Linked DNA regions of Kluyveromyces lactis. The protein of the gene in region 3 interacts with the protein of the main gene of each other region in a pairwise test. Links are inferred from orthologs where the notes say so. Each region holds a gene or a part of one and is shown on either strand. Other genes may lie near its edges.

Region 1 (3,964 bases), on a different chromosome or scaffold from region 3:
TCCACAATTTTGATTTAACCTCTTTTCTCAGCATTTAATTCTTAAGTATTTGTGTGTCTACATGGTTACATATTCAATCACTTTTATTGCGGTTAAAGAGACTATTTTGTTGGCTTGGACGGTCAAAAGTCTATAAAAACATCTGTTTCGATTGCATTCGATGCGATATCCTAAACCTTTTTCTCGTTACTCCTTTCACACTTTTGAGATTTAAAACTGAATTTGGGTTATGAAATTAAAAGAACTACCTATTAATTATGATTCAGAGTTAGTGAACCTTAAGTTCAAAGCAGTATATCAGTGCTTTATATATTAAGAGTATGTGAGCATGGGTACCGTGGAAAAGATCAAATGTTGTTATTTTTTAAATTACTCTATACAAAAATGCTTGGTTTAGAAAGTCCATGCTAGATATGCAGTATTATATAGGAGAAATATGAGACTCCTGAAGAGAGCCGGACTTTTTTTTTTTGGCCTCACTTTAAATATAAGAGGCGAACTTATTTAGCCTTGTTATATTCATTCAGCTTACCGATGAACCACAATGAGCTTAGGTAACTTAAAGATCCAAATGCTGTCCAGCAGAGAATGTTGAATAACGTACTATAACAGACAAATAGGAAAGATGAGATGAAATCTCTGTATCTGGCAACAAAAATCAAATACAAAATAGAGTACGCTTCCATATACCATGCAACTGCACCACCCATATGAAATGCCTTCCATCTCCATGAATGACATGCTTCTAGAACCCTTCCTATAACGTTGTCCCATTTGAAATTCAAAGAATCATTACCATAGTTTAGATGAATGTAACAACCAATAATGGATAGAAGGCAGATACATATGCAAACGATAACAATATTACTCAAAAGGAATCCGTATAAGTAATACAGAGTAGTCTTTTGTAGCCAAAGTGATTTGTAAGCAAATAACAACTCCACGTATATTAGAGCAAATGGAATAAGTCCAAAGGTGAGAGTGATCGCAATAGGATTTTTTAAGACGAACGGAATAGAGTTCTTACTCTCAACGTACAAAGGCCTAGTGTCATGTTTGTTCACTTCTGCCAATGCAAAGCTATTAAGCAAAGTATTTGTGGAGTTAACTTTTAAAAACCTATCGGCACATTTCCCACCAATGATTGATATTGGAACGCAAACAATGAAATAAGCACCAAATAGTAATGCAACGGTACCATGGGGTAAAGTATTTGCAGCATTATTGGCCTTAAGTATGTAATTCAATAACAAAACGATAACCAAAGTAATTCCCGGTAGAGTTGATCCGAATATGATTGAATTGACCAATTTATGTTGAGACATTTGCCCCTCAAGTAGAGCACCGATGAAAGATGATGTAAAACTACCACTGATAAATAGGAATACTGCGCAGGTGAGTACAGAGCTGCCAATACGATGGGTATGATTCAATGAACAAGAAATAATCAAAGTTCCAAGAGTGGTGAAAAGGAAATGAATACCCATAGAAACGAGCAAATTCAACTGAAAGAATAAAGGAACTCTAGCCTTCGACCATTCCGCAGCTAGTTGAGTGGTAATCGAACCATCAGTTTCCTGTCTTTTCAAAATGGCTATGACGATCAAAAGCAAACATGAAGTGACAATTATACCATTAGCGAAAGTAATCCAATGGAATTGATTTGAAGTCGATTCCTTTAACTCTCCACCATTAATGAAGAAATTCCATCTGTTTTTCCAATCCACTTTGAAATCTTCTCTCCAATACACGGCATAAGTGAAGGAGATAAACTCAATATCCTCATTAGTTGGGTCGATCTTATAGGGAGTATAATCCTTGGAGGCGCCAGGACAGTGATGATCTGAAACGGATTTCGGATAGACCTCAAACCCAACAATGGTATTTTTGCCCTGATCGATGGTATGATAACGAATTACAATCATGACATGGTTATTAATATAGGCCTCATCAGTTTCTGGATCGTATTGACCCAGTGGGAACCCCGATGAATAGTATTTTTTCTTATCTTTGGTGTTAAGATACGTGGTAGCACCTGGTAAATCATCATCGGCCAACCATTGGACGACGTAATTCTGTTTAATTAATTCATAGGCTTGTTTCTTCCCCTCACCGTTAGTTTTCCTATCACATAATCGCACACAATCCTCGTCTTTACCGAACGTCAGCTGATAGTCCGATTGCCATTTCTTGTTCCCGTATAATATGTCACTGAAAGTCAAGGGTAAAGGTTTCATGTCCTGCGACGGTGGACAAGTGAAATGTAAGTCGTAATATCCATACGAGAAATGAGTTAAGTCAGATTCGACTTTGTTCACAGTGATATCGACCTTATCACCATACTCATAGAAGTTCGGACTCAATAGTCCGTACTCTTTGAAAACTCCAGTGTGCTGCTGGTACGACGAAGAAAATTTGAATGGGTTGGCATCTGGGGAAGGCCGACGATGATTTCTCAGCCTTGGAAGAACCCATATTAGACTTAAAAGTACCAGTAAACTGACTAGAACCGATCTTGATTTCAGTTTCATAACAAGAGTTTAGTGGTGGCTGCGTGTGTTAATGGTTTATGAACTAAAGCGAAAGACAGAAATAAATGAGGAACAGTATGAATAATTGTGTTAAGGAAATATAATAGTTTAATGTCACACACAAACACGGAGGGCGGATACCAGTGTTCTTCGATCAAAAGAAAAAAACCCCAGGAAAATTATTAACCAAAACCAAAACAAAACCAAAACCAGGACAGTAGTATAATACAGATATATATATATATATATATATATATATATCCTATCAAAAACCTCAGAGTGAAGTCTTGTTTACCATTTAAACTTTCTCCTCTACTCTTTTCCCTTTTTGCCTGAGATATGCTTTAAATATGAAAAGCTCATCTCGAAGAATAGAAAATCGACAAGGAAAAATTCTGAAAAATCGTTTTTTTTCTTCTGGAAAAGGAATCATTATCCTGAATAGTTAGTACACGGCAGCGATAAGATGGATATATATATCTACGTACATTACTCTCCACGTATGGGGTCTATATTAACGTAACTGTATTAATATCCACTCTACACATTCTGTAAGCTATTCGTAAACATTAATTATATAATATGTTAATCTGCCCTTGTGCTGTCTCTCGCCTTCTTTTATTTAGTCAGGCTGAGTGAGACAATATATCCTCTGTGACTATCTAAAAAAAAACAGTTTCCTCTGTGCTGGCCAGTGTCTTCTTGTTCCAGACCCTTTCTGCACATAAAGCTCTGTTTTTGTTTTCCGTTTGCCTTTCCTTAAAGCAGATCAAGAATCGATTCAAAAATTCGAGATATACAATACGTGGTGCATGGGTGCCAGAGGACAATACACATGTTAGCGTAATGACCGGGTAACAACTTCTACTGAGGCTCAAAAAAGCACATCACGTGACTGTAATTATTATTGTTATCATTATGTCAGGATAAATTTCAAATCTAGAAATCATATTGTTTTTGTATACATAGATGAGGGAGAGGTGCAATGTATGTAGTGCACTGCAAATTTATCAAGAGAGAACTTAAGAAGTGCTGTTGGTTTCTTTAAGTTAACCAACCCATGCTATTCCATTCTGTGCGGCAGAATGCTGGTGGAAATGTGCCTGCTCATGATAGTTTAGGTGGTCACAATCAAGAAATTATGGATGCATCAGTCTTCAACGGCCTGCCGTCTGCAACCTCCGCAGCAGATGCAGCAGCAACAGCAGCAGCTGCCTCTGCTTCAAATTATGTTGATTCATCGAATCTCTCACATCTTTCAGAGAAATTTAAAAGACTTGAAACTCTAATCTCGGATCATTTATCACAGTTGAACATAGAATCCGCCGTTTTCGTCTCAGAGTTGTTATTTGCGGAATGCTCGAATCTGGACGAATCATCTCAGGAAAGAGCGCTTGCGAATTACTTTTACTCTCTATCCCTGTACTTGAACA
Region 2 (2,607 bases), on a different chromosome or scaffold from region 3:
CGTAACAGCAGATCACAATTGGATATGACGCTTGCACAACTGGAACAACTACAGAGGCAAAAAAAGATTGCTAAGTTGACTGAAAAGGAATTGGGAAATTATGGAAATGAGCAAGTGTGGAGATCTTGTGGTAAGATGTTCATCCGTCAAGAGAAGCAAGCCTACACTGCTGATTTAAACCATGATGAAAGAATATTGGACGAACAGATAAAGGCATTGGAACAAAAGAGACATTACCTACAGACCACAGTCGATAACACGGTAGAGAGTTTGAGAAGAGTCATTGGAAATTAAATCAACTACTGAGTCGGCATCGACAGGGGTTTTTGTATGGGTCAAGCAATGTGGGAAGATAGTACCCTTAAAAGTCGTATTCATCATAGAATAGAGTTAAAGTATTTAGCAGTGGTAATGTTATATATAGTTGTACATTAAGAATTCTCTATTTCAGAATACATGTGGTCTTTATTCATCGCACGTCAAGGAGGAGGTACATTCGATCAAACCGCACTGTATCCGCCTCTTTGAGACGATGAACCACTATTTACGATTTTCCCTGCCACTTCTTTAGCGAATTGTGGGAGATTGGTAGCGAACGTAGTCGATCTATCAACGAACTCTTCCCGGAAATCGTTAAAGGAACCGTTTCTAGTGTTCATATACGAAGTAACCACGAGATAAATAAGGGCAAAGATAGTTGCATACATGAATAGCCATACGAGCCACGACCCAAGACCAGCTCCGCCCTTTGGTTTGGATCCATTTTTATCACCATCGTGAGGCTTCTTATCGGAGTCATCACCATCCTTATCATTGTTATCGTCGTCTCCGTTGCCATCTTTATTGTCATTTCCCTTTTTCAAACAACCAAATGGACCAGAGAACACTAGTTTCACATTTTGATCATCGGTCCAGCTGGATTCCGTTAAAGAACCCGAACCTTTCTCCTGGCATTGTAGATATATATCAGCATTCAAGATATGAGACCCCCAGGCGGCACCAGAAAGCCTTATAGACAATGCTTCCGCGGTTTCTTTCACTTCAAGGGCCACAGAACTGGTGAAATCCATCACTTTGGTGACAATTGATTCTTTCCCCGGTAATGCAACAGATGTAACGCCACAAAAAATATCCTTCACATTACATTGGTCAGGTATGGACGATTTGGAATCATGTTCATCACAAATATTCAACCACCAACTCTCTTTAGTCTCACTTGGTGGTGTATCCTGTACAGAAACACCGCCTATGGAAAACTCATTGACTCTATATTTGTTGAGGATTTCGTTTTTAGAGCACTCTACCGCTGAAGAAAATGGCAAAAGCGATACTAAAGCGGTTGCTAGTAGCACTTTCATGGCGTGTATGTATAGTTTTGCGTAGTTTCCTTTGGAATTATTCAATAAACCCGTTTTCGGTATATATAACTCCCCTGAGACAACAATAAACTCTTATTAGAGCGAAATCTTGAGAAGAGGCGACTTTTCAAAGGGCACTGTATGTACTCAGCACTTAATTATTTGCGTAGTTACCTTGCTTGGATACCTGATGTAGACAACATAGGGCTTCAAAAGTAGTTATGGTTCAAATGGAAATGTAAAGAACTCGTTGTATATTAATGCTAATCCTATCTGATAAATGTCATTAGCTTAGGGGAAATATATGTGGCCGGGTAAATATCCATCTTGTGACTGTTTAAGCCCGTGCATCCTTTTACATGCGATATTTAACACCCATAAATCTCCTTCTTTATTCTCTATAATATAAACATCCTAATTAGGTGACAAGTTTATTTTTCATTTTTCATTCGTTGAACAGCTGAGGTTGTATGCAGCTAGGCAGAAGGACGGAAATCTCAGGGCGGGCCTCTCTCTGCACAGTCCTCCCACTAACCACACCGGTCCCGGCTCCAGAGTGGTAAGTTTCAGCAACCCAGGCGGTTCCTCAACCTACCATGCTCCCCCTATCACATTCACCGGCATCAGTCTTACACTCAATGATGCGCCGGACGTTGGCCATGGGCTCACTCTAACTCCAGGTCCCTCGCTGCTCTGGCGCCTCCTCCTGCTACGGTTTGCTTGTCTCTGCCTAGTCTCCCGTTGCGGTAGGCAGAACTCCTGCCTAGCAGCAATTCCTCCACGCTGGCTCTCACCTTTCCAATTTTTCATTCCCAGACGGAAACCCGCCTGCCACACCGTGAGAATCAATTTACAGGTTTGGAAATTTGGAAATATTGTGAATAAAGAATATACGATAATATAGCATATATACATTGTTACCATATATTAAAGAGTAGTGGTTTAGACGTGTTAATTAGTGTTTTGATACAGGACCGAGAACTAAGACCTTCAAACAGAGTGATACACAATGGCTAGATACGGTGCTACTTCCACTAACCCAGCTAAGTCTGCTTCTGCTCGTGGTTCCTACTTGCGTGTTTCTTACAAGAACACCAGAGAAACTGCTCAAGCTATCAGTGGTTGGAATTTACAAAAGGCTCAAAAGTACTTGGACCAAGTTTTGGATCACCAAAGAGCTATTCCATTCAGAAGATTCAACTCTTCTATTGGTAGAACTGCCCAAGGTAAGGAATTCGGTGTCACCAAG
Region 3 (2,631 bases):
ATCAAACACTACAATCAACACTTTAGACAGTTCCATCAAATCTTTTAAATGATTATCCCCGTAGAACTTTTTGAATGCATCCTTAGAGGTAGCTAACAAATGTGCTTCATCCACAATAATCACGTCGCATTGTGAATTGGTCTTGTTCAAACTGTTTATTACAGAAGTGGGTCTTTCCAATGACGATTTTTTAATATATGGGAAAGATCTACTAATCTGATGGTATAATTTCAACATTTCGGGGTGGTTCACCACCAAGTAGTTATGGGTACCTTTCAAAATGTCATTGGCAGACCCGTGCATGGATTGTTTCTGCAAATCATTGAACAACGCGTTCAAAATTACTGATTTCCCTGTACCTGCATCACCTTCGATAACGTACATTGAAGGTTTTCCATCGTAATTAAACAACTTCTTCTTGATGAAATCAAACACACCGGCCTTCAATTGTACCTGCTCATCTGATAACTGAATCTTTGAAAGATTATCGATGGCCTTGGACCCTGAGATTCGCTGAACAGTTTGTGATTGCGGCATAACTCTTGAACTTTTCTTTGCAACTCTTGACATTGCTCGACGCATTCAGCTGGAGATATACGAGGTACTTCACTTTCAAACGCCAATAATAGCAGCGTTCTTAATTAGTGCATTGAGACACAATAGCAACGGAATATCATACTTGTAGAAGTAAAACTGGCAAGTATTTGATGAGGAACTTATCAACTTTTAAAGCTTTGCATGTTCGGACTTAAAGGCAGCGATGGGCAAAATTTCAGAAGTGTCAGTTATCGAGGCAAACAGATTTCGATTAGCTGCAATAATGATTACGTCCTGATTACACCTACTGATATGATAATTCAAATGGCCTTCAGGCCATTGGGTTGTCATTGCTGGGTAGATTCTTGGATAGTTTATGTACTGTTTCTAAATCCTATCAAATATGAACCGATCTGGACATTAAATCATGAAATACCCAAACGGAATGTTATAACACAGTTGAGAATATAAAATGACAGACTAGTGCAAAAAGAAATCCTCGTGCGCTTAGCCTAGCTAGTAACTTAATACTCCTTAAGAAACTAGTACTCAAGCATCCTAGTTCCTATATCTTGGCAGTCACAAGGCAGAAGTCATAAGTCACGTGACTATACCACTTTATCCTTTTGATAATGGAAAATATCAACGACACTTGAAACTTAGCAACAGATCTCATCTCATCTCATCTCATCTCAATCATTTCAGGGAATTCCACACAGCTGCATCTTCCGGTCCTCATCAGCAAGGAAAATACTGGTATCCTGATATTACTAAGTTGATGAATATCAAGCAATTTTTCGTTCCAGCCGGGAAACCTTTATCCGGTTTGGCAGTAGGACTCAGTATCTTTTTAACTGCATTGTTCTTAGTGAACAATCTGGTATACCCTATCAATGAACACCTTCTGCTAAAGCCTGATTCACTATTCAAGTTTGATTTGAACAGAATCTCGTTGTACCCGTTGGCTCATCTCTCATTTTTCCATTTGTTCTTCAATGTCATCTCGACTTTCTCTATGATTGTGATGTTCGAGGAATCCCATGGAACTCTTTACACTGGTGTCATATTGAATCTATTAGCCGTATTTACTGCAATCCCATACTGTTTAATCGGTTCTTTGCTATTCCCCAATGTCGAGATCGGTGGTGCAAGTGGTTGGTTCTTCTCTTTCTTGGGATACTTTGCTGTGAAAGAATCCCGAGTTCGTAACTCAGTGATGATCACCAGTACTTTTTCATTCCCAACATTATACTTCCCAGTAGCATTACTATTCGTTACTGCTCTATTGGCGCCTGGTTCTAGTCTACCAGGTCATGCAATTGGGTTACTATTAGGATACTTCATGGGGTTGAAAGAGAATTGGGTAGCCAAGATTACTCCACCAAGCTTTGTATTGAAGAAAATTGAAACATGGGTCGATCCATTGATCAATCTGATCCCATTCGGTATTAAGTACTATAGGGAAGTTGAAGTGGACAGATCACTTGAATATACTTCCGTTTACCTGGGGTCAGAATCCAGATTGCCCTTGCATAATACGGATACTCCAGCGGAGCCCACATTTCAAGGAAACGGAAGAGTCTTGGGAAATTGAAATGTGAATCCTCAGAAATTAGATACTAGAGATTTAAATCATCTGCTGTTCTTCTTCTTTTTCTTCAAACCCAACTTTTGAAATATTGATAATTATATTTACATGCGTGTTACTTCGATGCGGCGGGGAGAATTATATTCATTCTATATACATAGGGAAACATCCTTTTTAATTATTTTCTGTCATTCCTCTTTTTCTCTCATACGTTGAGTTCCTCGAGTATGTGCTTTCTCAAGATGTTCTTCTTGATATTCTTCTTCAACAGTTGAGGATTCTCCAAACCTTTCGATAGTAAAAATTCATTAGCCAAGGATTCGTTCTTGGTATACTCTGCCAATTTTTCTGTAATAGCATCGATCTTCTGCTGCTGTTGTTTCACTTGGGTTTCAATCTTGAGAATATCCAACTGTAATATTTGCTTCAAGGATTCCGGACTAAACTTATCAATTCCGTAACGGCTCTTAATCTCTTTAACTGCGGCAGAATCCTCGGTACCATCT
Region 4 (2,499 bases), on a different chromosome or scaffold from region 3:
CCTATGTGCCAACCGTACAGGCAGTTCATTTAGTAAAAAGCAAGAAGCCTTGAACATTAAACCTGGGGTTGGATGAGACCCAAATTGACACATTTGACGCAAGGACACCGCTGTTTGCGGTGTCTCCGAGTATTGCCATATTTTGGTCAAAAGAGAACTCGGAAATTTCACAGCCATTCTGCTTTATCGGTTCCTGTATTTTAACCCAAGAATTTCAGAAATAAATAGAGATGAAAAAGAATAGTTCCTGCCTATTTGAGATCACCTATTTCAACTAGTATATTGTTCGAGAGAAAGTGAAGTGATTAAACCCTCTACTCAATGGTGAAAATCAAGAGAACTTGAATGATTCTTATCGAAAATTCAAACAATCCAAATATTTTATCCACTGCACATGAAACTAAAGAGACGCAATCATATACCACAGTAAGCTCAGTAACCTTGTCTGCAGATTGTCTGAACTTTTGGCTTGCAGAACAAAGAATACGAAATCAAATAATTCATAGCTTTAAGTACTCGAATGATGAAAAGAAAATACAAACAAAAAAAAATCATCATAATAAATAGCGAATTAAACTAATTTAAACCTGGAGAAACAGCAATCTCAGCATATTGTTAATTTTCAATTTTAGTAATTCGATGAACTACTTTCCCTAGTTGTTTTTATGCAGTGCTCCCTAAGCGATCGATTTTTTTCACTGATGTTCGTGATAGAAGTTTTCAAATGAACCTGTAGCCTTAACGGATGAATGGAAGTTATGAGGTTTGTGCGCTTTGAAAACCCTTTTAAGAAACTCATTCCTATACGAAACTTTCTCTATGCTTTTCTCTCACAGATTGCGAAAGAATCACGTCACGTGAATAACGATTCCTTCACAGAAGATTTTGGTGTACATTGCCAATTGGAATAGTTCACTGCAATGAATGTCATTTCGAGGTCTTGTGTTCGGAAAATATTGACACTGGTGCCTGTTAACTTGATCTGCTGGAAATGCTGATGCAACAATCGAAATTCTACTGTTTTTCCTCCTAACAAACCTTTTTCGTTCTTAAGTATTTTTTCTATTTACGTCAAACATCGAAAGTAACGCCAAAATTCTATGAGAATGGATTAGTTACTAGTTATAGAATTGTGTGGTTATGGCCAAAACAGAAACGGATTTATTCTTCATCGGAATAAGACAAGTAATCCTTTCAGATAGAACTTCAACGGTACTGTAACTAAGCATCAGAAGATGGAGCAGTAATGGAAAGGGTGCTGGGAATAACATATGTCATTTGTTGGTCCGTTTCAGTGTATCCAGTGGTCTGGGCCAATTGGAAAAATGGGAATGCTAATGCTGTGTCATTTGATTATGTTGTCTTAAATACTGTCGGTTATTCATGCTTATTAGCATCCATGGTATTGCAGAAACTGTTCTGGGCTGAAGGTACTGATGAAACACTGATTGCCCCAGAAATTTCCGGATCAGATCTCATTTATTGCGGGCATGGTACCTTATTGTGCTTCGTTCTCTTATCACAATTTTTGTTAGGGAATAGACTATGGAATTTCTCACACACTACCAGAACGCATCCAAAGATGCATACGGTGTACAAGAGGATGTTTTCCATCATAATGTTAGTTGTCTTGGTCATAACGATTATTTTCTTTACAGATATTTTAACAGTTGGTTTGTCAAATGCAACATTACTCTCTTATTGCAATAATTTATCACTTGTAAAGATCACAATGTCTCTGATAAAGCATCTTCCCCAGGTGAGGCACAACTTCCAAAGGAAGAGTATGGCAGGATTTCCTATCCAATCGACTTGTATAGACGTCTTGGGGAGTGTATGTTCATTGAGTCAATTAGCTCTTCGTTTAGCTTCAAAACCGCAGGGATTGACCCTGATGTCCTTTTTCACCAACTTCGGGAAGATTGGTATTGGATTGATCACACTTTTGTTTAATATTGTGTACGTCTCTCAATGGATTGTTTATAGTTTATCACCATAGATTTCTTCAACTGCTTAGCTGAACTGAAATCCATACATACAAATTAGTGCTTGGTTAAAGTAGTTGGATGAAGTTAATATTAAATATCATACATTTCTCAGAAGCTGGAGTTGTAAGAGAGTTGTAACCTTGCACCTTGTTCTTCTTTTAATATTTAGCGACTCAATGTGACTTCTGAGGAAATAATAGTGAACTTTAAATGATTTTTTCAGGGTTGGCATAGAACAAAGGATTTCATTTCATAACAGTCCAAAAGCCTAGCTCTGAGTGGTATAATGAAATGCTAAGCTGTAAAATTAGACATTGGGTTGTTATAAACACTTTAAATGGTAGCTTTTATTATATATTTACAACATTTCCATTTAGCCAGCGGAAAGAATAACAAAACCAGATATTCTAAACTTCGCTCTCTGCTTCAGATTCACTGTCGCTGATGGCAGCAGAGTTGACGCTAGCAGTTTCTATAGGTCTTTGGAAATCTGTGGCATGTGCCCAAGGAA

What was found. The genes of interacting proteins can lie anywhere in the genome.
Region 1: the proteins of RBD2 (region 3) and TMN3 interact in a protein complementation assay, tested with the Saccharomyces cerevisiae proteins (2 studies listed by BioGRID). The link is inferred for Kluyveromyces lactis from reciprocal best matches to the Saccharomyces cerevisiae genes RBD2 and TMN3.
Region 2: the proteins of RBD2 (region 3) and ATG27 interact in a protein complementation assay, tested with the Saccharomyces cerevisiae proteins (2 studies listed by BioGRID). The link is inferred for Kluyveromyces lactis from reciprocal best matches to the Saccharomyces cerevisiae genes RBD2 and ATG27.
Region 4: the proteins of RBD2 (region 3) and ERS1 interact in a protein complementation assay, tested with the Saccharomyces cerevisiae proteins (2 studies listed by BioGRID). The link is inferred for Kluyveromyces lactis from reciprocal best matches to the Saccharomyces cerevisiae genes RBD2 and ERS1.

The regions. Positions count from the first base shown.
Region 1 is NC_006041.1:1,856,926-1,860,889, forward strand, and holds TMN3 (Tmn3p), read right to left. Parts: upstream 2,532-3,964; coding exon 501-2,531; downstream 1-500. Other genes in the region: U6 snRNA complex subunit LSM4, read left to right, coding at 1-13; anaphase promoting complex subunit CDC27, read left to right, coding at 3,592-3,964. UniProt on the Saccharomyces cerevisiae protein: With EMP70 and TMN2, plays a critical role in the late stages of a nutrient-controlled pathway notably regulating FLO11 gene expression. Acts downstream of RAS2 and TOR. Essential for cell adhesion and filamentous growth.
Region 2 is NC_006037.1:574,520-577,126, forward strand, and holds ATG27 (Atg27p), read right to left. Parts: upstream 1,359-2,607; coding exon 501-1,358; downstream 1-500. Other genes in the region: PFD1 (prefolding complex chaperone subunit), read left to right, coding at 1-294; KLLA0_A06336g (60S ribosomal protein uL22), read left to right, coding at 2,368-2,607. UniProt on the Saccharomyces cerevisiae protein: Effector of VPS34 phosphatidylinositol 3-phosphate kinase signaling. Regulates the cytoplasm to vacuole transport (Cvt) vesicle formation.
Region 3 is NC_006040.1:1,092,869-1,095,499, reverse strand, and holds RBD2 (putative rhomboid protease RBD2), read left to right. Parts: upstream 1-1,315; coding exon 1,316-2,131; downstream 2,132-2,631. Other genes in the region: KLLA0_D12826g (uncharacterized protein), read right to left, coding at 1-582; MRPS17 (mitochondrial 37S ribosomal protein uS17m), read right to left, coding at 2,331-2,631. UniProt on the Saccharomyces cerevisiae protein: Probable rhomboid-type serine protease that catalyzes intramembrane proteolysis.
Region 4 is NC_006042.1:2,538,715-2,541,213, forward strand, and holds ERS1 (cystinosin-like protein ERS1), read left to right. Parts: upstream 1-1,246; coding exon 1,247-1,999; downstream 2,000-2,499. Other genes in the region: KLLA0_F27423g (PDK/BCKDK family protein kinase), read right to left, coding at 1-177; SYG1 (Syg1p), read right to left, coding at 2,396-2,499. UniProt on the Saccharomyces cerevisiae protein: Cystine/H(+) symporter that mediates export of cystine, the oxidized dimer of cysteine, from vacuoles/endodomes.